Linked DNA regions of Coturnix japonica. The main gene of each other region encodes a partner of the protein of the gene in region 2 in a complex. Links are inferred from orthologs where the notes say so. Each region holds a gene or a part of one and is shown on either strand. Other genes may lie near its edges. The genes, in order: EIF3F and EIF3D.

Region 1 (14,578 bases), on a different chromosome or scaffold from region 2:
AGCGTAAGAAATGACTCAGTCTTTCTTTTCCTGATGGTAATGACGTGGTGCATCCTGCAGAATTAAACTGCGCCCAGTGCTGGTCAGTGCACCGTGAAAAGGATTTGCAAAGATCTAAACTTTAATCCAAAGAGCTTATTTAAGCATAAGAAGATAACACTATAGATGAAGGTTTATATTAGCATAATACAAACATGCACATGTGACATACAAAAAATTGAAGGAAAGGTCATGCAAAAGTTTTGCAAGCAGCTGTTTTCTGAGCCTGCAGGCCTTTCAGCCACTGCTCTGCCAAAAAATGCCTCCGTGAGGCATTCCTGTCTTGCATAACTGAAGAGGGAAAGAGGTGGAGGAGCTGCTGGGTGGGGGCCCCGCGCAGAACCCACCTCCACAGCAGCTCCTCTCAGCCTGGGCGTGTTGTCTCTTGTGCAAGAGCTGTTGGCTGGAAAGGGAGGGGATCTGTTTCATTTGTTTTTAATCCTTTAAAAATAAGTGAAGCCGCTGTTTCAGAATTCACGAGCAGGAAGAGCGATCTGAGCCTCCATACAAACGCTTTATGCTGATGTATTCTTACTGTTATTTCAAAATACTATCAGCCTCGTGCTCAAACAAAACACCAAAATGAGGAAGCATCCAGGCAGGAGTTCAGCTCCCAATGTACCATCCTCCCCCTGCGTTCCTTCATTTGTGCAGATTTCTGTTTCCTGCTAATAACTGTTTCAATCCTTTTGTTTTTAATAGAAGGGCTGGAGGATTAGAAGCAGAAGGCAGCAGGGACTGGGAGTCACTCATTGCATGTTTATGAGGCAGTATCCTTGCTGCACAACTCAAGATATAAAAATAAAAGGTAATACAGTTACTGACCATTCACATTCCTAGGTGTCTGCAGGCAAAACAAATGGATCTGAAAGCTGGCTGCTGTGTTGAACCACTCTGACTTACTGGGGGAAATGGTAAAATTTAGGGCGGGTTTGTTTGAATGAAGGCCAAAGCAACCTTGTAGAGAGCAGTGATCAAGCAGGAGCAACACTTCAGGGGCTTTCTTCATAATACAGGGAGAAGAACTGCGTGAGGTGTACTTGGAAATCATAACCACAAACACTTGAATCATAAACACTGCTAATTGCCATTTGTTTCCCTTAGAAGCAGCAAGTGGCTGATAGCTGTGCAGTATTTACTACTGACAGGGCTGTGTGTTGCCTTTTCATTCTGGCTTTCAACACATTTCTTCCGCCACTTCTGTTACTTAACCATGGACTGCAGCTCCCTTCAGGAAGAAGACAACTGCCAGCGCTTCCTTTGGATTTCAGCTTCACTCTTTCCACTCAGTGGGAAAATACAGTGTCAGCAAAACTGGCCATTACAAACCTCCAAACGATCCCAGCTTTATGCTCCGTGGCATTCAATCAAAGTCACACTGTTAAGCAGCCAGTAACGTGAAGCCTGTGAAACGGGCAGGTGTGCACGGTATCACATCCCCTGCGCTCACACTGCTTTTTGTAAGGCAGCGAGCAGCCGGTGCCTGCAGATCAGCTGTTCCAAGTTTAATTTGTATACAAGTGTGACCCAACAATATTTCATCCGTACTAAAACATACCAGTTTTTTAGACTTATTGATGAGATAATGTAGAATGAAGTCAGTTTTTTTTTTCAGCCCCCATTTCCTGTCAAACAAATTCTGGCACAAAAGCTTTTTAATATCCTGGTTTCCAACGCCTCCTTTGCAAAGGAGGCTGTATTTCTGATCACCCACCCGTGCACACCTGTGACGTACACACACAGTTACAGTGCTTAACTCTTTCCTTACTGGCACCGTTGTGCGTTTCTTTTCTGGGACGTGGGTAACTGCTGCTGTGTTTAGGGCCGTGTAATCACCTGCTCTAGCAAGACCCCAATTGCTGCTGCTTGTAACTCAGAAGAGTGATGGCGTTTCCTTGGTAGGACGCACAGTGGTGAAGGGGTCAGGTAAGGACTTCAGCTTCGGTCCCTGCGACCCGGGCTGCCCCGACAGCAGGGCCCGGGGTCCCTTCACAACACACCGAGCGGACAGCGGCGTGTACCGAAGCAGCTCCGCATCTTCCAGGAGATCCGTGCACTCACAGCAGCAGGGACCTGATGACGGACCGCCCGCACCGAGCTCAGCCTGAGGCCGCGGAGCGGAGCAGATGCCGCTCCATCCCGTGTATCCGACAGCAGGACGGGCTCTGCCCGGTACCGATACCGACCCACCCTCAGCGTCCCGCAGCAGGAGGCGCCGCCATCCCGGTCTTCGCGGTCCCGCAGCGCAGCCCTCCCCTCCCGCGGGGAGCGGCCGGGCCCGGAGCAGGGGATGCGGGCGCTGCTCCGGGCTCATCTCCTTCCCCCGCCCGCCCCCAGGTGCCTCACCTGAGGGAAAAGCGCGGAGCCTCCGGCCTCTCTCCCGCAGCTACACCGCAAAATGGAGGCTGTGGGGCCGGGAGGAACCCGCCCCGCCCCCGGGTCCGCCCCGGCCCGGCCCGGCCCCGCTCCCCGCGGGCAGCACCGCCGCGCCCAAGAGTCGGCCGGGCCGGCGGTCCCGCTAACGTAGCGTCCCTTCACCCGGCCGTCCGGCCTGCCCCGTGTCCCTCAGGGCCGCGGTGTGCACGGAGCTGCCTCGGAACGGCTAGCAGGTACTTTAGGGGACGGCAGTGCCCAGAGCCGCAGCCCCACCGCGGGTACCATCCCATGCGGAGGGCACCGGGCCTCTGAAGTAGAAAGTCCACCCTGCAGTTTCCTTTTGGCACGTGTACAATTAAATTCAACCCAAACACGTGTGGATTTAGGTCAGACCTATTTTCCAGAAGCACATGGAGCTTTAGATGGAGGCCGGTAGCTGGCGGGCGGTGAGCCGTGTCGTCTGGACCACCAGACCAGTGCAATGGCCAAGTGGACCCAGGGCAGCTGCTCTACTCTGTGTGTGACTTGAGAGCAAGGTGTAGGTCCTGTAGGTCTCCAAGATGAAGGTAGGGCTGTCCAGGCTACTACAGCTCCTGTCCCCAGAAATAAACCTAAATTATGGCAACTAACTGCTATGGGAAGTGAATTTGGTGCTTTGTTTCTATTTTTAAATCTATTGTTACGTTTATTCATATTCTATTTGGAACAGACACCACATGCACTTACTTCTTCCTTTACCCTGTAGCAAAGTATTTGTAAGGGATTCTAACCAGCCCTATACACTTCCTGAAGGATCCATCCCTGCTATTATGCAATAGTTAATTGCCATTATTCAAAACTTCTGCATGCTTTGTTATGAAAAGCGTGTGTTAGCAGTTCAGACACCATTCAAATGCAAGCAATCTTCTGCTGTAACCTGCTGTGGCATTTGAATGCCAGTTGCCAAGTGAAACCACTGTTCTCTGTGTCTTTAAAATAGCAGTAAGTGCAGGCAGCAGAAAATAGGTCGGTAATAATTTACCACGCTTGTCCACTTCAAATGGAAAGCACCTAAAATGTATAAAAATTCTAATGAATGACCTGTCTTCAGCAGAATTGGGCTTATACCTGCCTTGTTTGCCCAGAACGTGTCATGAACAGCCTTAAGAATTTAATCCTCACGGCGTTTTTCAAGAGACACTTCCAGCGTTATGTCTAGTATACTTCACCTCTGTTAAATTCATTTCTTTCAGCACAGGTATATATCAAAACCCTTGTTTCCACGGGGCTCAAATACCTTTATAAAACATAATTCTTCCTCTTCCATTTAGTGGACTGTTTGGGTTTGAACTATTTAGGATAGAAACCATCTGTATTCCCAAACAAATAGAAAAAGAACAAAACCCTCAGCCTTCCCACAGTTTTCAGTAAGCAGCAAGACCTGGTCAGCTTTGAACCGTGGGTCAAAGTATAACAAACCAGCAGGATACTGCAGTGATCCAAGTCTGTTAGGTACTAACAATATTTGCCCTGTTACACTGCCTTGTGACTGAGGTAATTAAAATGCAGATAGTCAAAGTTAGCTGTTGAGTAAACCTTCCTTAAGAACAGAGAGCAGAGCAAGCACAGTTCACCACAAGGAGATGTGTTTGGTTAGCTGCTCAAATGGGAGTTACTGCCCTGTGAGTCATGGTAGGACTCCACCCACCATAGTCCAATCATGGGAGTTTCACACAAGCCTCAGGACTGCCATCAGAGTCTCTAGTTCTGCTGGGTGGAACCACACTAAAAATACACTTCATCCTTACTCAGAGCGCACAAGGAGAGCAGCAGGTAGTTCTGCTAGAGTATTTCAGAGAGCAGCATGTCCAATTTCCTGCACTGACATTTTAATCCTTAAGACTAAACAACCCATCCCAAATTTGTTACTAATAGATGGCATATGTTCACAAAATCATACACTAAAACATTACTTCCTCTTCAGTGTTCTGCCAAGAAACGTAATTGACTCAGCTGACAATGTAGACTTATGACCTTCATTCCAGCATTCTGAAATAATCAGCAAATGAAATTGTAATTCTATAAGCAAGGTTTTGAAGTATCTGATTGCAAACAGCGAATTTTGTTTGTCATTCTCAACAACACTGAAGTTTTAGTCTTATTTCCATTTTCCAAGGCTTACGCCAAACACAAAGATGTTGTTCGTGTCAAGAGTGAATCACAGGACACAGTGGATCAGGATGATGCTTGGATATCCACGGAGGACATGACAAGAACCCTTAATTAGAGCAGTGAAGATGGAAATTAGCATGACTGAGGCTAAAGAACTTGAAAGTAAGTGCAAAAGCCTTATTGAAAAGGGTGTTTGTAGAATTCAGCTGGGTCTGGGTTAGTTCCAAGTTTTTTCTTGACTGAGAATGGCACAAAAGTTGGGAACAAACTAATGATACCTGCTGATGAAACTGAAGTGTCACCAGCCCTGAGAGCAATCCAAACCAGGAGAAACAGGGAGATCATCATAACATCTAGATTTTCTAATTAGAAGCTGTCACAATACCAGGTCATACGTTTAAATGGATAATTTCCATAGTAACTTAAGAGTTCAAATGACAACGGGGGTGATTAGGATGGTGCTCAGTCACAGTAATGACAGACACCAAGAGGCAAACAAGGAATTTATAATGGGAAAGCATTAGTGTACTATTATATCCATTCATCTACACACTGATGCAAGTCTTTATCAATAAGAATGACTGAAATTAAGTTAAAAATGGGCAGCTAGGTGATCAAAGCATAGATAATGCAGCAGAAGAGAAGATATAGCTTATTATGAAGAACAGGAAGAACATGAAACAAGCTTCAGTAAGGACAAAGGAGATATATTTAGGTATATTTAAAACAGATTTTGAGATATGGTTTGTCAAGACAGGAAAGAACTGGAACTGTGTTCAGGAAGCCCCTCCTAAGGTACAGGGATCCAGAGAAGATGGCAACAGCACAATGGCTGTTAAACGTACCAAAACTAGCAAGACAAACTTACTTTGGTACCCAGAGAATCACCACATAGTATTAATTGTTTTGTTCAGTCACATGAATTTGAATGTCAAACTTTGTGTTTTAGCTTAGCCAGAAAATTAGCACCAGCACAATGCAGCCTGCAAGGGCTTTCTTTGGACCTTAATCTAATCCTACAGTCACCGTCATTACCAGAATTGTTCTGTGCATCATCAATCCAAAGCACTTAACAGAGTCATGAGAAACCTGGCTGCTGCACACCACCTATCCAAAAGCTTCACCTGAAGAATCACCTCCATGTTGTCTGCAAACCTTGCAACATAACAAAGCACACAGGGAACTTGATTAATCACATACATCCAGTTTTCATTGTGGTACACAGCCTATTGTTGAAACCATAATCAGTGAAGTCATGCTCTTGCAATTTTAGGAAGGTATTTCTATTTAACAAAGTTCATCCTGCAAGTATTGGTTTTGGTAAGCAGCACAGAGTAGTCTCATGTGCTTGTGGGTCTTATACTCTTGCTCAGAGGGAAACAAGCAGTTTTATTACACTAGGAAGCTGTCAGTGCAAAGCATAATGACATTATGCTCGTTAAACTGCAGGTTGTCAGAAGTTGCCATCCATGCTCATCGGAAACAAAGTGAACACAAGGTTGCCTTGCTTCATCATACCGCTGAGAGATGCTGTGGTGAATGAAACTCCATCCCAGTTTGCAGATGACTTGGATTTCATGTCTGAGAAGGCCTGATGCAACAAGGTGAGCTGATTTTATGTACTCCTCTAACTTTTCTAAGCACACAGAACACCCATAGAGAATAAGGGAACCATTTGTAACTGTAAACTCTGGTCTGAATATTATGTATATTGGGGCAGACATGTTTTCAGAGAGAACTTTGTGCTCATGTGACAACTCAGGATCAGCTCCGTCTAAGCGAGGAGAGCATTAATATAATTAAATACAACACATGCTGTACACAGAAGCATACTTGGAGAACTATCTGGACTATTTAAAAGATGATTAAATCAGACTCTTAAAAGCAAGACTTTGTCAAAGCTGTTTGGAGTATTGAGTCGTAAACAAACAAAAAAGGAAAAAGTCCCCTAGTAGGTCCAAGATCTCATTGATGTATAAATAATAGCATATTAGAGCTTGAAATCCTTGGTGGTTTTTCTTGACTCCCAGGCTTTTCCCCACCAGACTTCATAAGCAATTTCAAGGTTTTAGGTAGGAGATCCCATAAAATGGATCAGTAGAAAGCCTTAAGTATTCCCTGTCCAGATTTTCAAACTCCAGAGAAGGAAATGCCTCTTTCTTCAGCCTCCTAATGATAGTACAGCCTAGGCTTTACAGCCAAGTAAAATGATACGCTGTGCTACAGTTTGGTTGCAACATTGTCCTTCACAAGGGTAGCCACGAAAGATTGAAAATTCTAATCTCAGAGCAAGGTTTACAATACACCATTCTCCCAGTACCAGCACGGATGGAATCAAACATACACTTTTGAGGGGAGCTTTTATTTTTCTGCTCCAATTTGTTTTGTTTGTTGCTGTACTGTCTACCATACAAGTCAGCCTACGGACTGCAGGCTTTCCTGATACCTTCACTTTGCTCAGGAAGACATAACCTCCTTTAGTCACAATGTATCATCATCAGTGTTCCGGTACTTTTAAGGGCTGGTAAACTGCACAATACTTCCTACACAATAAATGAGAAGAGTCTTCTTCTGAACAGAAGGTATTCTTGCCAATACAACTGAACTTTATTTCAAATAATTTCTTACATTAAAGCTGTATTTTGTTACACAAGTTGATAAACCCAGAAGGCAAAAGATTCACTTATTCCATTTTAAAATAATGGGTTCATCCAAACTGCAGGAGTTCCTATTCACTTCCTAAACCATGTCAGGGATTTTCCAGGGAAGTAGAAATGAAGATGTAAACCAAGTCGTTTAGGTAATTAAGTTAAGGTCCGAGGGAATTTGTAACATCGCCATGGAAGTGTGTATCTGCTCACTCTTGAGGCTCTTTCAAGTGTAGGGTGGCAGAAGTTTCTTTATAAACTCAGAAGTTTTTCATTGAGAGCGATCTGTGACTGTGTGAGGTTTGCCAAGTAGGTTACCATCAGAAGGTCCTGAGAGAAAGAAAGAAAAAAAACAGTCATCAGAAATTTTAACAAAGATGAGAGCCTGGTATGGAGATGTGAATCTTTAACGCCTCCTGTAAAGCATTTTACAATCAGCTACTGGAACTATTGTTAGTCCCGAACGTCCTACCCTGAGGAATGCTTCCCTTACAGGAAGAAAGTGTTGGTATTCCTGGAACATGAAGCAGCACTTGTGAAATTTTAACTTAGAGTTCACCAGTATTAACCAGGAGAGTCAAAGGGTGGAAGCAAAATTAAAAATTAGTTGTGGTCTTGCAGACTACGGGCAAATAACAGATTCAGAAACTCAGCTTTCCAAATATCCATTACAGAAATAAAGTAGCACAATATAACCTTGTTTGGGTTCTTAAGTGCTCTGTCATGAGACAGAACTTCAGGTCAGGCAGAGAAGGCAGGGAAAGTCACTAGTTATCCTTAAGCTCCCTTCTCCACCTTCAGCTCTTAAAACATAAAGTTAGAGACAAGAAAGGGCTGTATTTTTTATGACCGTGTTGGTATGAAAAGGTAGTTTTGTTCATAAACAAAATTGTGTCTGTATGATATTTTCAAAATTGCTGGCAATACGCTTAGAAATCAGACAATGAACTCACATTAATATTGCTGTTCAACATCGTCTCAAAGTCCTCTGGTGAAATCTTTGGCACCTGGTTAATAAGATCCATCAGGAAACGCCCAACGGTGTTGTCGGCAGCCACTTTGCCAGACTATGCATAAGAAACACACTTCAGCATGAGTAAAACTCAGTAATAAAAACATAAAAACAGATGCATAATCTTATGTCAAACTTATCTTCAGTCTCATATAAAGTCTGCCTTACCAGTACATCCTCTGCATACTGTAGCACCATACCCAGGGTGTCCTGAATCCTGGCTGAGGCTGACCCCACCTGCTGTAAGTCACTGGACAAGCCGATCACTCGATTAGGGCTAAAGCAGGTCTTCATGATGAGATCCACTGAAAGCAAAACCAGGATCACTGAGAAATCCGACTGACACAGAAAGCAGCTTAAAACTTTAACTTGTTCAATACTCTCTAGGATAGCATCAGGTTCAGTGAGACAGTTTAATTCCCCCCCAGAGTGGTAATTTTACCAGGCTTAATAACCAAACAGCATTTGAACAGTATCACGACAATGGTTAGACCCAAAATAGGAATAAAGCATTCACCTCCTATCCGCTCTGTGTCGTAATAAACATACTTCACTGTCAGTGGTGTGAACATCACGCCCATAGTTTTACCAGGGACTCCCATTGGGGCACTAGGAAAAACACATAAATTCAGCATGGACACATCTGAAAGGAAATAATTTTCCATCTCAATGATCTTTATTAGCACTACAGTGTGAACACGAATAGGTTACTCACTGTCAGTAAAATCAGCAATATTAATACCATGTATAACCAAGGACAGGAAATCAATACAGGTATATTATTAACTGCAAATTTTCATCCAAAAATATTCCTAGCTGGTCTGACATTTATCAGTACAAGCGCATGATGAGTTCAGTACTGTCTTCTTGGTGAAGCTGACATGTCTGAGGGATAAAATGCCATTTGAAGAGACCTAGGCAGACTCAAGCAGTGTGCCCAGGTAAACCTCATGAGGTTTGATAAATCCAAGTGCACCTGGGTCGTGATAACCCCTGCTATCAGTATAACCTGGGGGATGTAAGGATGGAGCACAGCCCTGCCAAAAAGGACCTGGGGGAACTCATGGATGTTAAGCTGGACACAAGCCAGCAACATGCTTTGCAGCCCAGAGAGCCAACTGTATCCTGAAACGTGGCCAGCGGGGAGTGGGATGTGATCTTGCCCCTCTGCTCTGGTGAGGCCTCACCTGGAGTACTGCATCCAGATGCAGAGTCCTCAGCACAGGAGAAACATGGACCTATTAGAGTGCATCCAGAGGAGGGCCACAAATAGGATCCCAGGGATGAAACAACTCTGCTACGTGGACAGGCTGAGAGCTGGGGCTGTGTAGCCTGGAGAATGGTGTGAGGTGACCTGAGTGTGTCCTTTCAATATCTAAAGGGGAAGCTATATGAAGGAAGGGGGGCAGACTCTTCAGCAGAGTCTGTTGTGATAGGACAAGGGGAAATGGTTTCAAACTAAAAGAGGGGAGATTTACATTGGACAAAAAGAGAACATTTTTAAAATAGGGGTGGTGAGGCACTGGCACAGGTTGCCCAGACATGTGGTGGATGCCCCATTCCCGTAGGCATTCGAGGCTGGATAGGGCTCTAAGCAACACTATCAAGCTGTAGGTGCCATCCTGATACAATATCTGTTAGTAATTCAGACAGTTCCTGTCCCCATGTACCTGACATAGGCTTTAATGCTCATGCGTGAGTTCTGGAGACTTGTGTCCACAGTGAGGTGGATTGGATTGTGTGCTTCCCGGCTGTAGTACTCGTGGATCAGGACAGAATGTTCTGTGATGTCGTGACCTGTTGCGTACCTTGGAAAAAGCAAATGTTGAAAGACCACTCTTCTAATGTTCAAATGCCCAGTATTTGTTGGTATTTAACAGGTCTGTATTCTAAAACCCTGATGTCCAAGCACTGAGTTGCAGACACATAGTAAAGACTAGTATTATAACTAGGTCATGTGTAGTTTTATGGCTCTCCTAGAATTATAGGCTGAGTGCACACATGCCCAAAACATGCACAGGGTCAGTGTTGTATTACCATCAAAAAGAGTCAGTTTTTTGTCACTATGCTCTGGGCCAAATCTTTATTTCCTTATAAATCAAAGCATGCCAAGCAAATTTGGACCAGCAAAGTAAATCTTAAACAAATTAAACACCCCTGTGCAGGAGGCAGGGCTTGTTCATCTCGCTCCTTCAATTGCTCCGCAATTAACTTCTTGCATGCACAGGAAAGCGACTGCCATGAGAACTGCACCTTGCTGTGCCATGATGGGTTGTTGAGGAAGCCAAGAGTTCTGCGCTTGTAGGATTTTGTTCCATAGAAAGGGGCCAGAGAGGATGTCAATAGACAAACGAGGCCAGTTATCCGTGCACAAACGAGTTCTTTTCCTGTAACACCCCATCACAGGTATTTCCACCTTTACTCAGAGAACACCCTTGTGTTCAGGCTAACATCACCGTTTCCCACCAGCCCTTTGGTACTTTTGTGTTCTCCCTCCAGCTAGTTACCTTACAGACTGTATCACTGCATTCTAATAGATCCATGAGCATTCCCAACCCTCCTGTCTGTGACAGCTCTTCTAGACTAACCAAAAACGCTCTAAGTCTGCGACAGCATCCTTTCCTATCCTGAGTGATGGCACGACTTCACTGCTGCTTCTGCTTTCCAGCCTCTGACAGCAATGACAGATCTGAGGTATCTGAGGGACCTGCACAACTGCCCGCACTTCCCTGTGGCCATAGAACTCACCAGCCCAGGATGATCTCACTGGGAGACACCTTTTTGTGCAGCTCGTACATGTTTTTGGCAAACTCCATATCAACAGCCACCTGGGGAAGGGGACAGAGCCGAGTCAGCGGGTGCAGGAGCCCCGATGGCACATCCCCCATAGCCCCCACACCGTACCTCATCCTCGGACTCGTTGTGCGGGACGGAGAAGCAGTTGGTGACCTCCACCGAGTGCTTGTCCACGGTGCCTGCGGGACGACAGCGGTTAGTGGGGCGGTATTGGTCTTAGTGGGGCGGTATCAGTGGGGCGGTATCAGTGGGGCGGTATCAGTGGGGGCTGCGGCATTGCGGCTCTTACCCAGCAGGGTCCCGATGACCCGCGCCGCGCCCTCGTTGCGCCGCTCGAAGCTGTCCACGATGGAGGCCAGCACCACCGGGTGCAGCCGCACCACGCGGCCGCCGGGGAAAGGACCCGAGAGCGCGGCGGACAGCGGGGCGGAGGGCGGCGGTGCCGCCGGGGCTGAGGGCGGAGGGGGCGCGGCCGCCGTGGGTGTAGTGGGAGCAGCCGTGGGGCTGGGAGCCGGGGCGGCAGCGGGAGGGACCGGAGCCACAGCGGGAGCAGGAGCCGCCATTTTGCGAAGAGAAAGGGGAGAGACCTCGGCCACGACAATTGGCTGATCGGAACGCCTGTCACATACGCCACTTCCGTGAGCATCCGCCCCCTCATGGGCTGGCGCAGCGCTGAGCTCCTGTCTGCCAAAGGCAGAGCTGTGCTACCTGTGTGACGTGGTGTAGGAGCCTGCTTTGGCAGGGGGTTGGACTCGATGATCTCTAGAGGTCCCTTCCAACCCCTACAATTCTGTGATTCTCTGGTGTGATTTCTTTTTACAGCCCTTACACGTCACTGAGCCATTACTTTTGCATGTGCTGTTATGTCGGCTGCATCTTCACAGCTGATATATAATTTCTATATCAGTAGCTATCGTCTCATCTTGCTTGTGCAATGGGAATAAACATAATTTCTTGTTGAGAGGCGAAAAACCCCTTAGAGTACATTAAAAATATTGCATTGAATTACAGGTAAAATAAAATATGCATTTCATGTAGATAAGCATAATTAGGAAAAAGAATAGCAAGACTGATTTTCTGAATCTGTTGGTATCAAAGAATGGAAGTCTCTTTTCCTGCTTGGAACATCAGGTCTGTGTCTCCAGCTCTCACTGTGTTCATGGAACTCCCTCTCTGCCATTTCTCATGGTCATATTGCCAATGCTTTGGCTGGCTGTTGGTTATCTGTGTTTTTCAGGACTGTATGGTAAGTGTTGAGTCACGGCCTGAACCACTGATTGAACAGCTGGGGAAAGGACTGGTCAGCCCTGGGAGCACAGGTGAAGGCAATTCAGCTGTGTGCCTGGAGGGGATGCAGCCTGCCTGCACCTCTCTTAGACCTTATTTAAGGGCTGACTGCTGCTAGTAAAGGGTTTTTTCCTGGAGATCTCTCCTTAGTGAAGCTTTATGCTGCAAACCTAGAATTTTCTGATACAGGTGAGCAATCTTCTCTTACTTTATAGCACCTTTCTACTGTGTTGGTCCTTTTATCATTGCATCTCTTTTGTAATGCTTTTTCTATCATACTGGTCCATCCAATTGCTACTAGGATTTCTCTGGGGCTTTAGTATGAAGTAGTGATGGTCAGTGGCTTCTGGGTTTTAAATTAAAACTAAGTGGTAGTTTCCTTATTCAGCCTCAATGGAGTGTTTTGGATACTCCTCTGCTTCCTGTTCACTTGTGGTTGCTAGTAGATGAACGGCTATTGTTGGCAGCCTAATTTCTAGTATAATGCATTGGTTGATATGTCTTCATATTAGCAGAAGGAATTCAAACCGTTCCTCACTTTTTTTGCAATGTTTTATGGGGCTACTTTAATTATTAGAGATCCTGTTTGACATGGGGAGCTGCTGATGTTAAAGCTAGAATGGAAATCCCAATCCAGCCCCCAGCCGCTCGAGCAGATGCAGCCCCGCACGTCCCCGCCAGGTGGCGGCGCGGCCCCACGCAGAGCTCCCTGCCCTTTGTTCTTATAGAACAATTTTCCAACTTTGCTTCTCATGGATGAGTGTCCTTTCCTCAGTGTTCTCTGGGTTGACATCAGCACTTCCCATCCACTGGAGCCCAGACCAGAATTACATCCAGCCTCAGCAGACCTCTGGGACTGGAGCTGTTTGTGTCTGCCAGCACAAACATTTGCTTTGGTGGCTTGGGATGGAACCTGCGTGCAGAAGGGAAGTGACTAGTTTGGGAAATCCATATTTCATCTAAATAGTGTAAGGAACCTGCCTAGAGAGAGAATGGCAAAAATGCTGCTATTTTGTGCACTCCAGGGCTCTTATTTGTGAACTCTGATGTGGTTTTTATGCTGTCAGAGTCAGATGGTGTTGACTGTTCACAGCTCTGCATTCCATTTATTTATTTATTCTAGCATAAAGCAGCTACATTGTGCTGAATATAGGGGGGCAGTGAGAGAGAAGGTTAAAAGATTTTCATTTGCATACAGTAGGAGCTGAAAAGGAACTCAAGCAATAAAATTTAGGGGATGGTTTCTATACTGGAGCTTGGGAGTCCTGAGTGCCCATTGTGGTTTTGTTGCTGGCATCTTGGGTTATGTTGGACAAGCCATTCATGTAACTGAGGGAGTGGCAGAGGTGTGCTTTGGGTAGTATCTTTGCTCTTCCAATGTAGTGTTTCATAACAATTAGTGTTATTTCACTCCCATGTCTGCCACTGACTTTGGGAAGTCATTTAACATTTGTGTTTTGGTTTTCCACAGCTGTCAGATCTGACCCATATATTTGACTGGCTAGGTTTGTATAGGGGACATCCACAGACAATCTGCTGAGGAAAGGCAGGGAAGTCTCTGATCTTTAAGGAAACAGCTTTGAGAGGAAGCTGGAGGGTGCATTTCCTGACCTAGAGAATGAATTTCAGAAAGGGAAGAAGAGTCAGTCCAGCCTACTTGGGAGGAGGAAAGTAGCTATTTCTGTAGTGTTTTTCCAACATGAAACTTACGTAATTCTTTAGCTGTAGTAGTAGTATTTGCAAGGGGTGCTTTTGCAAAATGCTGTCTTAGTCTGTCTCTAGATCTGAAATGCTCAAAGCACTGACATATATAAATTCACCTTCTGTATTTTGTTAGCCAGTCAGTCTTAACTGATCAGTTTTGGCTGAGTGATCTGCACAGAGAGCTGGCTCCAAGCTGCTCAGCACTCCAGCAAAATCGTAAGCCCTCACTGCTCTGTTTAGCATTGGTTACTGTTGCAGATAGGGGACTACACAAACACAGTGGTTACGCTGTTCTGATGAGAATTTCAGCCCCATTATGAAAATCTGGACTTTGTTCACAGATGCAAGTTCACAACTGATTTCTTATGCCCACTGTAATTTGACCTGAGAAGTTCAACTTTTCCAGAGTGGGTTTTAGATGTTCTGGGGATTTTCTGTCCTAATTCTCTCAAACACTTGGAATTTGCCACGTACTATTCTGGATGACAACCATTTGCATATTTTTTTTTTTTTGCATTGGAACAAATAATGAGAGCTGATCCATCACTGAAATACCATCCCGGTC
Region 2 (16,718 bases):
CTGGGCAGCAGCAGCACCAGTCTGTGCCCCACTGCTGCCAGCTGTTGTGTGTCACATATTATAGTCACTGCACCGCACACTCTACAGCATCCTTAGGGCTGCACCTTCCCCAGCCCCACATTAGCTCTTATCCTTACCCTACATCCCTCCTTCTCATCCAGATGACTGAGAAGCACTAACTCCCTGAGTAATACAAACCTTCCTCTTCCTCCTCCTCCTCTTCATCCTCCTCGTCCTCATCGGAGCTGAAGGTGCCATCGGGCAAGCTGTAGATTCGGATCACCTGTTTGTTGGGGTCTTTGAGGATGAGGTACTTCCCCTCATCCAGCTTCATGCAGATGTCGATGACGCAGCGCAAGATGCCCCAGGCGTTCTCTATGCTCAGGTTGATCTGGCTGGCAAACTCATTGGGCTTAAACTGCTGCGTACCCAAAATCACATGGCGGGCAGAGTCCTTCACGTGGTAACGGGACACGTACCTGGTGGGCAAGAACGAAGAGAGAAGTAGCAGGGGATTAATTTTGGCCACTGAAGCACCATCAGAAAACCCAGCATCATGATTGGTTTGCTTTTGCTTTCTGAGAAGGAAGAGCCATCCTAACTCCAACACTGAAAGCTAAGAGGATCTCCTGGCCACAAGCTATTGCCATCAGTAACACAGCTGGAATCCTCTCACTACCCCACACCTCACAGAGCAGTTACTAGTGCCACAGATGAAAGCTCAGCGATTGCTTGATTACTTGGGAGTCTACACTTCAGGTATCTCGTATCCCAAAACACAATATAGAATTGCAGACGCACCAGAATTGAGCCCTTTTCATTATCACCAGTTATTATTTCCACTTACAGATAAGATGATATACGCTCTGTGTTGGTGCTGTTCAAAGAAAGCACAGAAAACGCACTCTGGTCTGGATTTCTGTAGAAGTGGATGACTGGCAGAAGGCAGCACACACAGCAGCTCATTCAGGCCATCAATAACAGAGCACAGACTCAATTGGTTTTAAACTGACAGTTCCAAATGGTTTGTGGTGATACCTCCCTCCTCCACTCAAATTCTCAGTAATGGTGCGCTGAGGACCTCAATCAAACTCCTGACAGGTAGCATGGTCACTGCATTTATTTCCCTTGGTGGCAATTTCAGCAAATAGACTGGGAATGGCAGAGGCCGCCTGCTTGTCACACACATGAGGTCTTACAAGGTCAGCCACAACGGAGGGCACATCAATCAGACGTTGAGGGTAAGCAGCTAAAGCTAAGGCCTGGGTCACCACTGGCACATTTACTGCAAGCTTTACCCACTGCTGTTCAAACCGTGAGGCAATTTTATGATCATCCAGACTCTACCAACAGTTCACTATGATACAGACTGTGTTAAATTGCAGAGAATGCACCTGAAAGACACTTGGTATTAAAACCCTGTCTTACCCGAGTTTGAGATATTCAGATCCAGCCAGCAGTGCACAACATGTCCAGCGAGCTAATTTGTAGCTGTTGTTTTTCAGCTCTGTGGCAATCACGGCTCCTCTCTGTGAGTCAAGCTTCTGGCGCCAGTCTACTCCATTGCAATACTAACGGGAGAATCAAAAACAGGGTGAACCTAACAAGCCAGCAACAATTATCTCTTCAGCAATTGCATGGGGAAGCTTCTTCTATCTAAACTATGATACCGTAACTATGGAATGCAAACCTGTACTTGCAGAGAGAGCCCCTGCACTGGAAAGGGAGAAATGCAGTAGCAATGGCTAGGAGAGGAAGTCTGCTAGGGACGGTTAATGAGGGCAGCACAGATAAAGATCAGCTACTGCACAGAGCACCTGGGAACAAGAACAGGGTTCAAACCAACTACCTCATGCCTGGGTAAGGCTTAATAGCACTGCTAGTCCACCAAAGCTCTGCATCTTTGACAGAAGGTAATAACTCAGGGGACACCACTAGATGTTTGTCTCATCTTGCCTGCTATACCTGGCATGTCAGGCAGCAGTGAAGCAGTTAGAGCTAGCTTTGGGATCTTGTTCTTCCTCACCCTGGAATCCCATTCGTTCAGAGTTTTGATGTTGATGAATGACACTTCGCCGTTAGCCCCTGTCATCACTCCATCATGCTCGCAGCGGACAATGAGATCTATGTCATCTCCCAGCTTCCACCTTCGGTACCTGCACACACACAGTCCAGGTCATTGTTGATCCTGGTTCTTTGCCAGATCTTTCCAAGTACTCAGCAAAATCCTTTCACCCTTTATCTGTTCACTGGTTTGGATTGTTTTACCCTGCAAACCACGCTGATATCCTGCACCCTTGTCAAAGCTTGGAATAAGAGATGCATCAACATACCTGTAGGCAACAGAAGCTACTTCGTTCTTATCCATGTCATCCTCCACAAAGGGGTTTGGGTTGGGAAACTTGTATTTCTCCTTTCCCTGTGTAAGGAAACAGAAAGGCTTATTAGTAAAACAAACAAGCAAAAGAACAAAACAAAACTTAGAGCTCTCCTCTTGGGTGAATATTCTCTTACAGCAACAACAGCTGACTTCCCTTACACAGAGAAGACACTAAAAGATTTAAGACAACAGATGCAAATTCTCCTTTCCATGGTAACCACTTCCCTGTGATCATTACTCCTCTTAGCACACCAGCTTTAATAAATGTAATCAGAAGCCTGCCCACTTTACCAACAGGAGTGGGATTTCCTCTTTGTAAAATAAAGGTGAAAATCATTTTATAAGAGTCACTTTGCTCAACATAAGGAATCCCACCTGTTTCAAGCTGAGGTAACATCAGTGCAAACTACTTTTACCAATTTAAACACTTTTGTGCTGAGCAGCAGCATTAAGCAAGTCTGAATAAAGTCTCATTTCCAGACTCTCCAAAATTCAGACCTTACTGCCCAGGACTACTCGGCCTTACCATCCTCAGACACTGCTGGGAGAAGTTATGGTTGATGTAAGTTGCTTCCATGGCAAGGTTGCGTGGAGAATTAAAGGAGTTGCCCTCTTCCTGTGGTGGTTCATTAGCTGTTTCACTCACTGTCAGTAGATCTGAGAACAAAACCAGTCACATGCTGTTACACTTGAGGAGAATCTGTATCGGCTTCAGTGAATCTCTACCACACATGCTGAGGCAGATCAGCATTGAAAGTACTCTCACAGTTAGCAACATATTGCAGCCATCAGTTTGCTCCAGGTGTCTCGGTCTTGGCACTGAGACACAGAATACATTAAAAAAACAACAACAAACAACCACCACCAGAGAAGCATAAAGAAAAATGAGACAAATTTTAATTCAAGAGTTTTTCTCACCAAAGTCTGAATTGTCCCTCTTGTCAAAGAAAAGCTTGGATCCAACTCTCTGGACAATGATGTCCCAGGAATACACAGAGCGAGTGCAACTCATCAGTGTGGCCAGGATAGCATCTGTGGCAAACACATTCCCTTGAGTCTTGGCCAGCTACGGATACAGAAAACACCATATTTCAGCAGCACTTACAGACATACCTTTCCTTTCCCAGCCAAGATCAGAAGTGCTAGCAAACCAGATTGTGAATTTCTTCTTCCATACTGAGAAAGACAGACTGCTGGGTACACCGTTGACAGCTATGCCAAGTGTGGAGTACTACCTAGTAATCCAGGCTCACCCTTGCTCTCAGACAAGCAAAAAGAAATCTACTACAAAATGGAAATCTACTGTGAAAGGACTTGGTTCCTTACTGACAGAGTCATAAGGAGCAGTCCCTGAGCCTTCCTCATCTACAAAAGCAGAAAACTCTAGAAGCAGCTTTCCAACACTGAAGTTCCTTTTCCAGCACTGTCCAAGTACTCGTTTGTTTGCCTTTCATTGCTCAGTACTCCCAGTTTTACCCTGTCCCAGCTTACCTTAGGTCCAAGGAAAATAACAAGGTAATAGTTTCCCCTTTGTAAGCTGAGAGATGTAGATTTTTCCTGTTTGTCTTTGGTCTGACTGTGACAGTTCTCAAAGCACAGCATGCAATGAAAAGCACGCTCTTGGATTTGGGAAACCAGTGAACATACCTTTCGGATAACTGGGTCATCAGTAGTAGTGACTGTATGGAAGATGCGCTTAATGCTCCTCAGCAGCTTCTCATTCCTTGTTGTAATGCGGTCAAAGGCTTTATCATAGTATTCTAGAGCTCCACAGCACTCTCTACAGAGAGAAAGGACAGATCATCTTGGTCACATAAACACCTCCACTGACAAACCACAAAGGACTAAGGGAATGGTTGGGTGTTCTACCACTCCTGGCTTTGCTTACTTCACTGGGGACACTGGGACCAAGCCAAGAGACCCCTTGCTTTCCTGCTATCCTGTGCTGTCTATTCAGGAAACTGTTTTAGGAACTTACATGTCCTGTGGTTCTGACACTTCCAGGTAGCGCATCTTCATCAGTCGAGGGAAATCCATCTCTTCTTTCACCTCCCAGTCACTGCGAACTTCCACAGAGGAATCACGAGGCTTCTGCTGCGCGGCCAGAGGTGAAAAGGGTAAAGGGAGAAAACACACATAGCACATCAGGATTTGTGCACGAGGACATACAGACATCAGCACATACAGACAAACTAAGCCATCACCAGGGTCAGGAAGCTGGCTAATTTACCTGTGACTTCTGGTCCCATTTCTGCCTCACTCCAAACTGCTTCTGAAACTTCTTTTGGAGGCGCAAACGATCCCTACAATGACAAATAGGTGAAAAGCCATTACAACAAGTTCTCAACACAAGAAGCTCCCTGCCACGACTCCCACACTTCCAAATAATCACCAGAGGAACAACGTTTGCAGGCTGAGAATTTGGCTATCCAAACAACTGAAGTGTTAAGAGCTTTGTTCTGCACTCTGAACACCCTTTATATGTTTTTATCCTTAATGACCACAACACAGTTTCCAGGAAGAGCACATCCTGCTTTAAGTTGTCACACTTACCTCCTAAACTTGACTCAAAACATCTCCTAGATTCTTAAATAGCTGCCTGAAATCCATGCTTGTAACTACTGGGCGCATCAGCAAACATTAAAATACCCTGAAATGCTTTGCTAGGAACTTTGGTGGGTTCTGTTACAGTAACTTAAATTACTCGTTAACAGTATGTTCACACACTCCAAGTACAGAATGCTTGTATGTGAAGCCCGCACCTCTCTTTCTGCTTGGCACTCTTTGGCAGCGTCTGCATGCTGAACTGCAGCATGTTCCGGCGGTCCTTGTCTCTCCGAAGGTTCCTCTGTGGGAATGCAGCAAAGAATAAAAGGACAGATTAGTGGCAAAGTAATTCTGTATTGCTCAATCTCTTTTTTTGAGCCTGTTTCTGAAAGTAAAGCTTTACCTGTGCAAATCGCATGCGATTCCTCTGGTATGCAGTTTTCTGTGTCCGGGCTGTATCCACCAACTGGAAGCTGGTCTCATCCTCCTCATGGAAATACGCATATTGACTTCCACCACCAAACTGTGATGAGTACTTGTCTGGAAATAAAATAAATCATTTTGCTATGAAGCTTGGAAGCAAAAATATGACACTCCACCCGCCCCCCCAGTTTTCCTCAGTAGCCTTTACTCAAGTCTAATGCATCAACTAGGACTCCTGCATTAGACTGTCACATTGCCTCCCTGCTCTGAACCTCCCAGAGAAGCACCAGTCAGCACATGGAACAAACCCACAAGGGAACCCTAAGGGCAGGGAGAGCCCCACGCAGCTCTCCAAGCGGTGAGACACGCTTCTGAAATTAAAGAGCCTCCTCTGCTGAGGTGTGTATGTAGCCGGTAGAGCCAGTGGGAAACACGAAAGCAGGGATGACGTTTGAAGTAAGCTTTGCACAAAATAAATAGCAGGAACAGCCATTGGACAACACGTACTTGTGTATCTCTTATCCTGATACGTGGCTCCTGTCCAATCTGCCACCTAAGGACAAAAATATACAGTAAAAAAAAAAAGCAAGTGTTAATATGATGTGTGTGTCGTCCCCCCCCCCAGTAGGGCCTCAAAAGGCAAAATAAGGGACTGCTGTATGCACCTCAACTCCCACCTCCATAAGCAAGCCTCACAGAATGCTCACAACTGTCAAGGTGCTGGAGAACCATATAATGTCATATCTCAGAATGGCTCAGGTTGGAAGGAATCTTAAAGAATATCTAAATCCTGCCCCCCACCAGCTCATTCACCGGCTTTAAGCTGCAGGTGTATGGGCACCACAGCTCTCTGGGCAGTCTGTGCCAGCGCCTCAGCGTCCTCTAAACAAAGAATCACAGAATGACCCGGGTTGGAAGGGACCTCAAGGATCATGTAGTTCCAACCTGCCTGGCAGGCGCCAAACATACACCTTACTAGATCAGGTTGCGGGCCCGTCCAACCTGGTCTGAACACCTCAAGGACGGGCATTCACAACTCCCTGGGCAGCCGTGTCCAGGGCCTAACCACTTTCCTAGTGAAGATTCCCCTAAAATCCAACCTAATCTTCCCTCCTTCAACTTAAAACCATTTCCCCTAGTCCTGCTATTATCAGCCTTTTGAAGAGTTTACTCCCTCCTGGGAGTAGTTCCTTCAGTACTGAAAGGCTGCAATGAGGTCACCCGCAACCTTCTCTTCTCTAGGCGAACACCAACTCCCTCAGCTGTTCCTCATAGGGGAGTGCTCCAGCCCCTGATCATCTTCGTGGCCTCCTCTGGACCCTTTCCAAAATTCCATGTTTTTTGTACTGAGGGCTCCACACCTGGACACAGTATCCAGATGGGCTCACAAAGCAGAGTAGAGAGGACGATCTCCCTATCCTGCTGACCACCTCTCCTGATGGAGCCCAGGATCCATTTGCTTTCCGGGCTGCCAGAGCGCACTGCTGGCTCATGTTGAGTCTTTCGCACACCAAGACCCCCAGGTCTTTCTCTGCCGAGCAAAAAAAGAGACCCCTCCCAACGTCTAACCCAGCTCCCCACTCTGGTAGCTCAGCAGAGGCACAGGGGTGCACCCAGCAGCCACACAGCGCAGTACCTTGCCCAGGCGGTCCCCCTTGCTGAAGGGCTGGTAGGGCATATCCTTGAACTGCTCGGGCACGGCGCACGGGCCCCAACCCGAGGGGTTGTCCTGGATCACGGGGGTCACGAACTTCGCCATGGCTCACAGCCCTGCGGGGAACAAGCGGAACGTTCCTTCAGCACCCGCCCCGTCGGCGCCACCGTGAGGGGAAGGGGCACCGAGGGAGCCCGGAGCGGGCGCAGGAAGGCGGGGGCGCCGGCCCGGCCCCACCGGAACCGGCGGTAACGCCTGGGCGGGGCCGGGGGTCGCGCTGCCCGCGGGCCGGTCCCGGTAGGACGGCGGAGCGTGACGGGGCGGCCGCGGCGTCCCCTCACCTGAGCGGCCGCGTTACGGCCCCGATGGCGACGGATACGACAGCGGCGGCGACGGCCGGCGAGGAAAGGCCGCGCGCAGCCCCGTCCCGCCCTTATTGCGTCAGCACTGCGCGACGGCGCCGCCGCGCACCACCGTCGTAAAAGAGAGAGAGCGAGGGGGCGGAGCGCGACTGCCGTAAAGCGCGGATCTCCCGTTAGGCGCAATGCGCCCCGTGACGTCACCGCCGGCATCGGGCTGTACGTGGTGGGGTGTGACGTCACCACGGCTTTTACTTACCCGGGGGGTAGGGAGGGGGCAGGGTGGGTTCGTCGCGTGCCTTACATAGGATCATTAAGGCTGGAAAAGACCTCTAGGATCACCCGGTCCAACCATCAGCCCATCCCCACCATCCCCATGACCACGTCCCTCAGTGCCACATCCACACGGCTCTGAACACCTCCAGGGACGGTGACTGCACCACCTGCCTGGGCAGCCTGTGCCACTGCAGCACCTTCCTCATATCTCAATCTTTCCTCATATCCAACCTGACCCTCCCCTGAGGCCATTCCCTCTCACCCTATAACTGTTACCTGTGAGCAGAGGCCGACCCCCACCTCACCACAACCTGTTTGCAGAACGTCCCTGGGTATCTTGCACCATCTGAGTCTAGATCAATATTTTGCAGGCAGAGCACCGTGCATTTCCTCCTTTATTTACTGCGTTTAAACCCTCCTCGAGAAATAACCGAAGCAGTCTGCTTTGCCAGGAGGCTGCGCCATTAATCAGAAGTCGGATTATTAAAGCAGTTTTCCCCGCTAGCAAAAAGAGAAATCCACTTACAGAAACACGGTTTATAAAATACCATTTGTAACTCTCACAGGCAAACAGCCTTTGTGGTGACAAACGTCAGTGCTGGAACAGCCCTGGATATCACAGACTCAACCTGAGCATAGCCACGTTCAAGTCATGCTTAGGAAACGTAAAAGGAAGTCCCAAAGAGCAAACGGAATGAAGAAAGAGAAAACAACTAGACTGATAAACCTAGACTCTGCATTCCCCCTGCTTGCCTGTTCCCTTACAGTCCTGTGTGAGGTGCTGAAAGGCAAGTGTAGCGCTGCTGCTGCCTGCTGAAGAGTGCTGGCACTTCGGGCCCAGCCCCTCAGGCTGCCTCGTCTGGGAATGGAGCTGGGTATTAGTGTGTCTCAGAGGGGAAAGCAAGCACAGGGAATGGCCATCAGAGAACAAATGCTCTTTTAGGCACATCATAACCTACCGGTTTCTTATCAAGAGGAGAAACTTCAGCTGCAAGAAAAATCCAGCCTTGAGGAAGGTGAGATTTGTTCCCCCATTTAAGTGGGATTTACTGGAAGAGGGGACAGGGTGGCTTTGGCTCACGCTTACTTGGCACCAGACCCTGCCCAGCTCACCTCCTGTCCTGGGCTGCACTCAGGGCTGTGCTGGTGTCAGCTCCAGCACTGTTTCTGCAGATGATTTGCCATCCAGCTGTCGGCTATCATTATCAGCACGTGAGACACACAGTGTCCCAGAAAAGTGCTGACTTTGCTCAAAATACACTCGCTTGCAATCACTTGATCTGTGATCCATAATTTCAGTTAATCAGTTAATTAATCAGTTAATAAGGCTAATCACTTTTCCCTGGAAGATGCTTATGAAACAGCCAGGATAAATTGCTTCCATCTGGTTCTGCATTTTTGTCTTCTGCTTCTCCATTTCTGGGATCTATGCTGGTATTTGTGGATCTATAAAAGAGGGCTTTTGTTCCAGCATTGTGGCTGCTCCAGTCCAAAGCCTCTGTAGCCATCACCTGGCACCCTCCCTCTGAGGCATCCACCTCCCACAGCAGCTCAGGGCTTCTCCGAGAGCTCCAGGCAGCACTGCAGGCTTGTCCTGCTGAGCAAGTGCAGTATGCAGCTGGGACAGTTTTCTTTCCTTCTTGCACAGCCATCTTTTTACTCCAAGAGGCAGCCTAGTGCTGGAAGACTAATGTTTACACTAAACAGGTAGTTCCTTGCTTGATTCTTACAACAAACACATCAAAAATAGCCAGTTCTTTCTTCTTCTAACAGCAACGAACACTTGGTTTGCCTGTACCATATATTTAGTTCCCATCGTCCTGAGCTCCTCGGCAAGCCCAAAGAAAAGAGTCGTCAACCCTGTCACCTTCCTCAAACTGAGGAGCCCAGCGTTTCCACACCTCTCAGCTCAGACTCTTTTTCTGGCCTTTGTATTTGAAGCAGTGAAGCTCACTGCTGGCTCCTGGCTTCTCACCATCAGTGTGTGCAGCAGCTGCCTGCTTGCTCAGTTGCACTGGAGGCTCATGGTTTCCATAGCTCTCTCTGTGTCCACAGCCTGGGAAGCCCTCCTTCTTCCTTGGCATTCATTTTCCCATCCCATCCTTGCCATTGTGCTTCTATCTGCCTCCTGCTGCTGCTTTCTGAGGCCAGGTGTTTTGCTGCTACATTTTTTTTTTTTTTCCTGGAAAAAAGAAACAGCCATTGAGTAACTCCCTATGCCATGAATCTGGTTTTCAGTTTGCTGCCTGTGCAGCCCAGTGGGGCTGGGAGCAGGTGACACCTGGCACATTTGCTGTGTGTGCTGGGAAGGTCCAAGCAGGGAATATACTGAGTTCATTCCTGGTTGGGGATTGTGCTTGCAGTATGAAGCTTCCTCTGTCTACTTGCTCCAGCCATGCCGAGTGCTTCCCATATCTCCTGGGTCAGACAGCCTTACCTGTGAAGGTGGACAGAAACCTGACAAGAGCAGGCTTCCTTGCCTTTAGAAACTGTATTGCTTCTGCTCTGGCTCAGAGCCTTGCCCTGCATCGCTTGCTCCTTTCATGCTGCTATGAGAAGGCTTGGGCAGAGCTTGCTGGAATTTAGGCTACACCACAAAATTCTCTGTTCTAGCACTGCCTCTTGCCTGGCTTTGGCCGTTTCTGTCACCAGTGTTGTTGGATCTGTCCCAAGGCACCCCTAGCTCTGAGCATCAGGGCTTAGAGCACATGCACCATCAAAGACGCAACGTGCATCATGCTCCATTCTCAGCTGCTGAACGCTGCCCTTTCCAAAGCAAAGCTGTTGGGAAGATCGTCTCCTTTGATCTGCATTCAGCGCTGGATTTTATCCCAGCAGCCAACAGGCTAATTCCATGAGTTTATTCTGCAAAGCTCAATGAGAGCAGCTGGTGCCGGCAGCGTCCCTGCTGGCTCCGTGCCTGCTGGAGGCGGGGAGGGCTGGTGCAGGGGCTGGGGTAGGAGCCCAGAGCTGCACACAGCAAGCTGCAACACCCTGCTGCACGGTGGTCCTGCTTGTGTCCCTGGGAAGGGTTCTATTTGGGAGCCGGATGCTTGGATGCTGTGCAGTATTGGGGTTGGGGAGCAGAGTGCAGCACCGCTGGCTTTCTTTACAAGGGCCCTGCAAGTGCCCACAGCTGCTTCCTTCAACATCAGCAACGTTGCAGTAATTTCTGTGCAAAAAATCAGCATCTTCTGGGGCTAAATGTGTTCTGCAAATGCCCCTGCCCAGCTGATCCCTTCTCTGAAAGCATGCTGCTTATGACAGCCAGGCAAAGAGGTCTAAGTAGGACATTATCAGGAGCTGAGGCAGAGCTGGATCTGCTTCAGCCCTTTTCTCCTCTCCTCTATAAAGCAACGCCGCTGAATGACCATGAAGCCATAGTACAGAGGCCGCCTCCATCCTCTCTTCCCTATGGCTTCAGCTTCTGGGATGAAGAGTCCCCATGGAAGCGAACAGGGGCAAGGGATGCAGAGCAACCCTGTATTGCCATCCCCACCATCTCTCGGTCAGCTGGAGATGCTCGGATGGGGACAAATGTCCGTCTGGAGGTACACAGGGAGCTGAGCCCTGGGGCTGTTCCTTTCTCTCCTCTTGAGCAGATTTCGGTGCCATCTGCTCTCTGCTGGCTTTGGAGGAGTCAGCCTCGTGCTTTTGTCTCCTTGGGCAAAACCGTGTCGCATACATCCCCCACCGGGCTGCGGGTGCTGCGGGGCAGCCAGCAGGGGTGTGCATCCCTCACCCTGTTCCAGAGAGCTCCCGCTGCAGCAATCCAAAGTGTTCCTTTCTCTTCCCTTCGTGTTCCTCTGGAACTGACACCTCCCAAGGTCACTGCTGACACCCGAGGCTGGACCCTTGAACCGAAGCAGCTTCAAACACTGCAGATGGGGATGAGAAGTGGGCGGGAAGGGGCTAAGCTGGCACCTCTTGGTCCACAGATGGCCCTGCAAGTGATGCTGAGGGGCTCAGAGCCCTGTGTTTGCTCTGACCTCATAACACTGCACTTCCCCACCTGCTGGCTGGAGCCTGTCCCATTAGAGCAGGTCAGACTCTCACATCGAAGTGGGTTATGTCCTTGGGTCTACTCGCAGATTTCCTGCAGGAAGGAGAGCAATCAGGAGTGAGGAGCCCTGAAAACAATGAAAGATGTCCACGTGCAGCAGCAGGATGCCAGTCCAGGTTCTGTCACTCTGGGCCGAACAAACCTGCAGGTCCTCCGGCTCTGCTCAGCGCTGTTTTGGGGCCGGGCTGCTGTGCTGGGATCATCCCACGGGATGGCAGTGCCTGCTCAGCCATGGGCTCAGCCCCGCTGTTGGCAGCAGAGCCTTTGGCAAATTGCACGGCGGTGGCGGCTTCTGATTGACGGATCCCCAGAGAGCAAAGTCCCTCGTTTCCTCCAGCCCGGAGGGGATCGGGAACAGCAGGAGGAGGAGCAGAAGTGCAAACCTGTTCTCCATAACCCAGTGCTTTGCCCTTGCAGATTTGTTTCTGGGTCTCAGCCCACAACCGTACATTTGACCCCTTTGCAGAAGCTGCCGGCTTCCTCATCGCTGACTTTGCGCAATGTCAAGAGTCGATGGCTGCAGAGGGCAACGAGACCTCCTTGTCCTCATACCCAGCCCTACACCCCCATCTTTCGCGTCTGTGTCAACCTGGAGGTTTCGACAAAGGGAAAGTAAAAGGAGGACAGTGGGGTTTGGCATCACCCACACATTGTTCCTCTTGGTGGAAAACCAGCACAAGTGACAATGTGCTGCCAGAAGGGTTCACGTCTGCACCAGGCTGGGATTTGCAGCCCAGGATCCTGCCTCATAGCTGTGCCCATAGGAAGCAGCGTGGCCCTTGCTCTACCCAGAAATAATGGTGAAGCATTGAAACAGGCTGCCCAGGAAGGCGGTGGAATCTCTGTCCCTGGAGGTGTTCTGGAACCATGTGGATGTGGCACTGAGGGATGTGGTCAGTGGGCATGGTGGGGATGGGCTGATGGTTAGATTGGATGATCGTAGAGGTCTTTACTAGTCTTAATGATTCCATGATTCCTCTAGCATTCCTCTGCTTCTGGGAACTTGAGCTCTGCAGGAGAGCGGGACCTTCAAGTTATATTCTTTGTGTGGGAACCTCCTGGAATTGGCTGGAGGTCTCCAGGCCATGCTTGAAAGTTATCCTCCCTTTGCCACCCCAAACCATGGCCTCCTCCTCCTGCCTCTGCCACAGAAGCCTCCCTGCAGCAAGAAGGCTCTGTGGGGTACCTGCTTCTCTGTGAGTCCAGCCTTGTGATCAGACAATACCCAGGACCAGTACTCAGAGGCTGACCCCCACCTCAGCACACCCTCCTTTCAGGTTGTTGTAGAGAGCGATCAGGTCTCCCCTGAGCCTCCTCTCCTCCAGACTGACCAACCCCAGTTCCCTCAGCCGCTCCCCATCACACTTGTGCTCCAGACCCCTCACAGCTCCGCTGCCCTTCTCTGGACACGCTCCAGGGCCTCCATGTCTTTCTGGTAGTGAGGGGCCCAGAACTGAACACAGGACTCAAGCTGCAGCCTCACCTTCCCCTTTCCTTCTGTTGCTTTGCCTTCTGGTTTCAGGAGCGTCCTGCTATGGCAGTAAGGCAAGCAACCTGCATGCCTGGCACTTAGCCTCTCCCTTACAGCCGTTTGGCACTGAAAATTATCTGCAGACAAAAGCGTCGTACCTGGGTCTTAATTTCCTCCCTTGCCAAACCATTACTACTAATTACTGCTCCTAGGTGTTGAAACCGTTTAAGCGACACTGCTAAATGCCCTGTGTTAATTTAATTGCCATGGAGCTGGGTTTTCCCGCATGCAGAGCTCTCACAGAGTCTCAGCAGAAGCAAAGCTGAGTCTCTCATACATTCTTCAGTCCTGTCTTTGGGGGACCAGACATGTTGGCTGTTCCCAGTCACGAGGCAAGAGGTCTCTGACATCCCCTGGCCCTCTCCCTGCATGGTGGTGTGGAGGAGCAGGCTGTGGTGTATTCTCCATAGCCAGGGGCCAGTGGAACCAGTGCTGGGAGAAGTGAGCGGGGGCAGGAGGAGCACCATGACCCTGGGTGAGGACAGGGCTGGCACCCACCCAGAATGTCCGCATAGCCCAGGGGATGGGGCAGCGGAGGGCTGCTGTTCACGCGCAAGTCCATTGCATTGCTCAATGCGACAGATTCATTAGAGAATGTTAGGGAAGTGCTTTGAACATGAGAAGTGCTGAGCGCTGCTGTTCCTTATTACTGCATGGAGGCCGGCCCTGTCTGGGGCACCGAGCAGAATTGGGTACGCCTGATTCCCAGACGTTACCTTCCCCCTCCTGCCCTGACCCACAAAAGCAAGGAGGCAGAGGGACATCGTGGAGGGGAAGAAGGGAGCACACCTTTAGCCCTGGTGAGGAAGGAACACCTCCGAGAGGCAGGGGCTGAGCCGTGCCCCCCATCACGGCCGGACACTGTGCAGGACATGGGACTGGAGCCACATCTGGCAGCGTCCCACTTGCAGGGTTGGCTGCATCTTGTCCCGCTTTGCTGCCTCCCCCTCCCTGCCTGTGCCCTGATTTTGTGAGGGAGGGGTCCCCAGGGAGGAGCCGAAATGGGGCAGCAGGTGGGGGAAGCAAAGGGAGCCATGGCTCAACCGTCCCGTCCTGCCCTGGGGAGCACAGCTGGGCATTTGGCGAGCAGTCAAGCAAAATCTTCAATGCACCCATCCTCATGGCCACTTCTGAAGGCTGGAGGATGGCATGGCTTGAGTTTACCTGTGCTCACTGTCAAGCAAAGCCTCATCGTCCCTCTTCTTCCTCCTTTGCCAGTGGAAGATGTGGGGCTCAGTGCCACCCCCTGGGTGAAGGCATCTGCAGGCAGGGCTTGACCCCCGTTGCTGTTTTTCAGGTGCTCCTCCAGCCCACAGGGGCCCTTTTCACTTTAATTCCACCCCCCAAAAAAAATAAATCCACTTGAACGAGGACCAAGTTATATATAAAAAAAAAATCTTTATTTCATGTACCAGGATTTTTTTTTTGTTGTATTTTTTTTTGTCATTTTCTCTTTTTTATTTTTTTCTTTTTATTTATTTTTTTTCTTTTTTTTTTTTTTTTTTCTTTTATAACAGTCTGAAAAAAACCCACGAAAGAAAGTAAATGGAGGTCGGTTTTTTCTTGTACTGCTTTGAGCTGGACATGTGCAATACCCTTGTTAGAACGCATCTCTGCCAGCCCTCATCCCTCCCCATCCCTTGTGAGGGGGTCTGGCACTCGCCCCCCCCACCTTTCCCTGTGAATGCTCTCCAGCTCCACGGAGCTTTTGGGTTTAACCCCAAACACTGCTCTCCTTTATGCTGCAGTCTGGGCGTGCAGTGAATCGCTTGTCCCTGTGGGCTGGTGGGGGCTCATTTTGAATGTCTGTCCCCTGTTTTTCTTTCTTTTGCTAATATTTGTTAGAGTTTGGGGGTGGGGAGATAGGGGAGAATTGTGAGCAGGAGTCTGGATATCTAACCTGCTCCACTCGCCCTACCCCGGGGGCTGAGGTTGAGATATTTGGGGGTAATGGGGGTGGAAGAGTCGGGATGTTTTTAAGCAGAAACCCCACTGGGAGCTGAAACTGGAGCAGCAGGGACGGGAATGGAAAAAAAACAAAGCAAAAAAAAAAAACCAAAAACCAAACCAAACAAACAAAAAAAAAAATTAAAAAAAAAATCAAAACCCCCAAAAAACCAAACACCAAAAAACAAACAAACAAACAACCAAAAAAACAAACCCCAAACCCCACCATATTAAAACCAAAAATTAATAGGTCTGAGCTGCCCTAGGGCTCGGCACACCCATCCTGCACACCCCACAGCTGTGGGGGCAGCCCCTGTGGGTCCCATCCCCAGGGACCCTGACACCCCCCCCCAACCCTTCCCGTCCCCATTTCCTCCTGCGCAGGTGCACCAATGAATTCAGCTGAATCCAGGCGAGATGGGGGGCTGCTAAAAAGGGACCCCCCCAGTAGGAGAGGTGGGTGCCCTGGGTGGGGGGAATGGGGCTTGTTGTTGGGGTGGGGGGTGGCCAAATGCATTTAGGGAGCCTGTGAGCATTCACAGGGGAGTGAGTGCGTGCCCCCCACCCCGCTGCAGCCCCCCCCTGCAGCAGCATGTTGAGCACTGGAAGCCCCTCTCCCCTCTGGTCCCCCCCCCCTGCAGCCCCCCCCCCACCCCTCCTTCTGCTGCCCGCCTTGATTTTTCACAGTTTAAAGCTGGAGAAAATAAAACCGAAACAAAAAATAATGCTATCTGTTTTCTCTTGCAAGTAAATCCACTTATTATATTTACATTTATTTATAGTTGTTGTTTTATTAAAAAAATTGCCACTTTTTGTTTTTTTAAGAAACCTTTTTTCGACCTTTTCCCCCCTCCCCCCTTTTTTTAATATATATATTTTTTTTCTTTTTTTTTTTCTCTTTGACATCGCGTGTCTGCTTTTTCACGCTGTCATTGCTGACCCTGGGTGGTGGGAGGGGAGGGGGGGGTGGGTCCCCAGAGCCGGGGGAGCCCTCAGGAACCCCGGGTACACTGTGGGCAGCTCCTGCTCTCCCAGGGGATAGTGGGCACCCTTATTCATAGGGACCCGCAAGCGGCTCCTGGGCTCCCAGAGGAGGCTGAGCAGGTCTGGGGGGGGGTTCTGAGTGCTCCCATGCACCCTGAGAGCCCCCGCAACCTTTGGGTGACCTTGGGGACATGGAGAGGTTGCTGCAGGCCCGAGCCCCCCGGGGAGCCTGTGCTGAGCTGAAGGAGGTGGGAAATGAACCATAAAATTAAAGAACCCCCTCCCGCTGTCCCCCAAAACCCAAAGAGCTGCCGCCTCCTTCATCCTCCTCCTCCTCCTCCCACTTGGTTTATTGTCGTTATTTCTTGGTTCCCTTTTATATTTTTTTTTTCATTTAAATCTCTTTTTATTAAATGTTAAAATAATGGTACATGGGAAATCATGCATTTTCTTTTAAATTTATTTCTATTTTTTTTTTTTAAATCTCTTTCTCTCGGTTTTAAAGTTTTTTTCTTTTTTTTCTTTTTTTCTTTTTCTTTTTTTTTAAGGTTTTT

The links.
Region 1: EIF3D (region 2) and EIF3F share a complex: the UniProt entries of both Homo sapiens proteins name them as parts of the eukaryotic translation initiation factor 3 (eIF-3) complex. The link is inferred for Coturnix japonica from reciprocal best matches to the Homo sapiens genes EIF3D and EIF3F.

The regions. Positions count from the first base shown.
Region 1 is NC_029521.1:13,746,092-13,760,669, forward strand, and holds EIF3F (eukaryotic translation initiation factor 3 subunit F), read right to left. Parts: upstream 11,608-14,578; 5' UTR 11,586-11,607; coding exon 11,312-11,585; intron 11,202-11,311; coding exon 11,131-11,201; intron 11,055-11,130; coding exon 10,975-11,054; intron 10,035-10,974; coding exon 9,897-10,034; intron 8,836-9,896; coding exon 8,744-8,835; intron 8,532-8,743; coding exon 8,395-8,531; intron 8,282-8,394; coding exon 8,168-8,281; intron 7,545-8,167; coding exon 7,467-7,544; 3' UTR 7,150-7,466; downstream 1-7,149. UniProt on the Homo sapiens protein: Component of the eukaryotic translation initiation factor 3 (eIF-3) complex, which is required for several steps in the initiation of protein synthesis.
Region 2 is NC_029516.1:47,215,639-47,232,356, reverse strand, and holds the start of EIF3D (eukaryotic translation initiation factor 3 subunit D), read right to left. Parts: upstream 7,464-16,718; 5' UTR 7,346-7,463; intron 7,121-7,345; 5' UTR 7,110-7,120; coding exon 6,987-7,109; intron 5,904-6,986; coding exon 5,858-5,903; intron 5,468-5,857; coding exon 5,331-5,467; intron 5,229-5,330; coding exon 5,143-5,228; intron 4,684-5,142; coding exon 4,611-4,683; intron 4,475-4,610; coding exon 4,359-4,474; intron 4,161-4,358; coding exon 4,028-4,160; intron 3,447-4,027; coding exon 3,299-3,446; intron 3,038-3,298; coding exon 2,907-3,037; intron 2,420-2,906; coding exon 2,334-2,419; intron 2,157-2,333; coding exon 2,027-2,156; intron 1,572-2,026; coding exon 1,429-1,571; intron 480-1,428; coding exon 199-479; intron 1-198. UniProt on the Homo sapiens protein: mRNA cap-binding component of the eukaryotic translation initiation factor 3 (eIF-3) complex, a complex required for several steps in the initiation of protein synthesis of a specialized repertoire of mRNAs.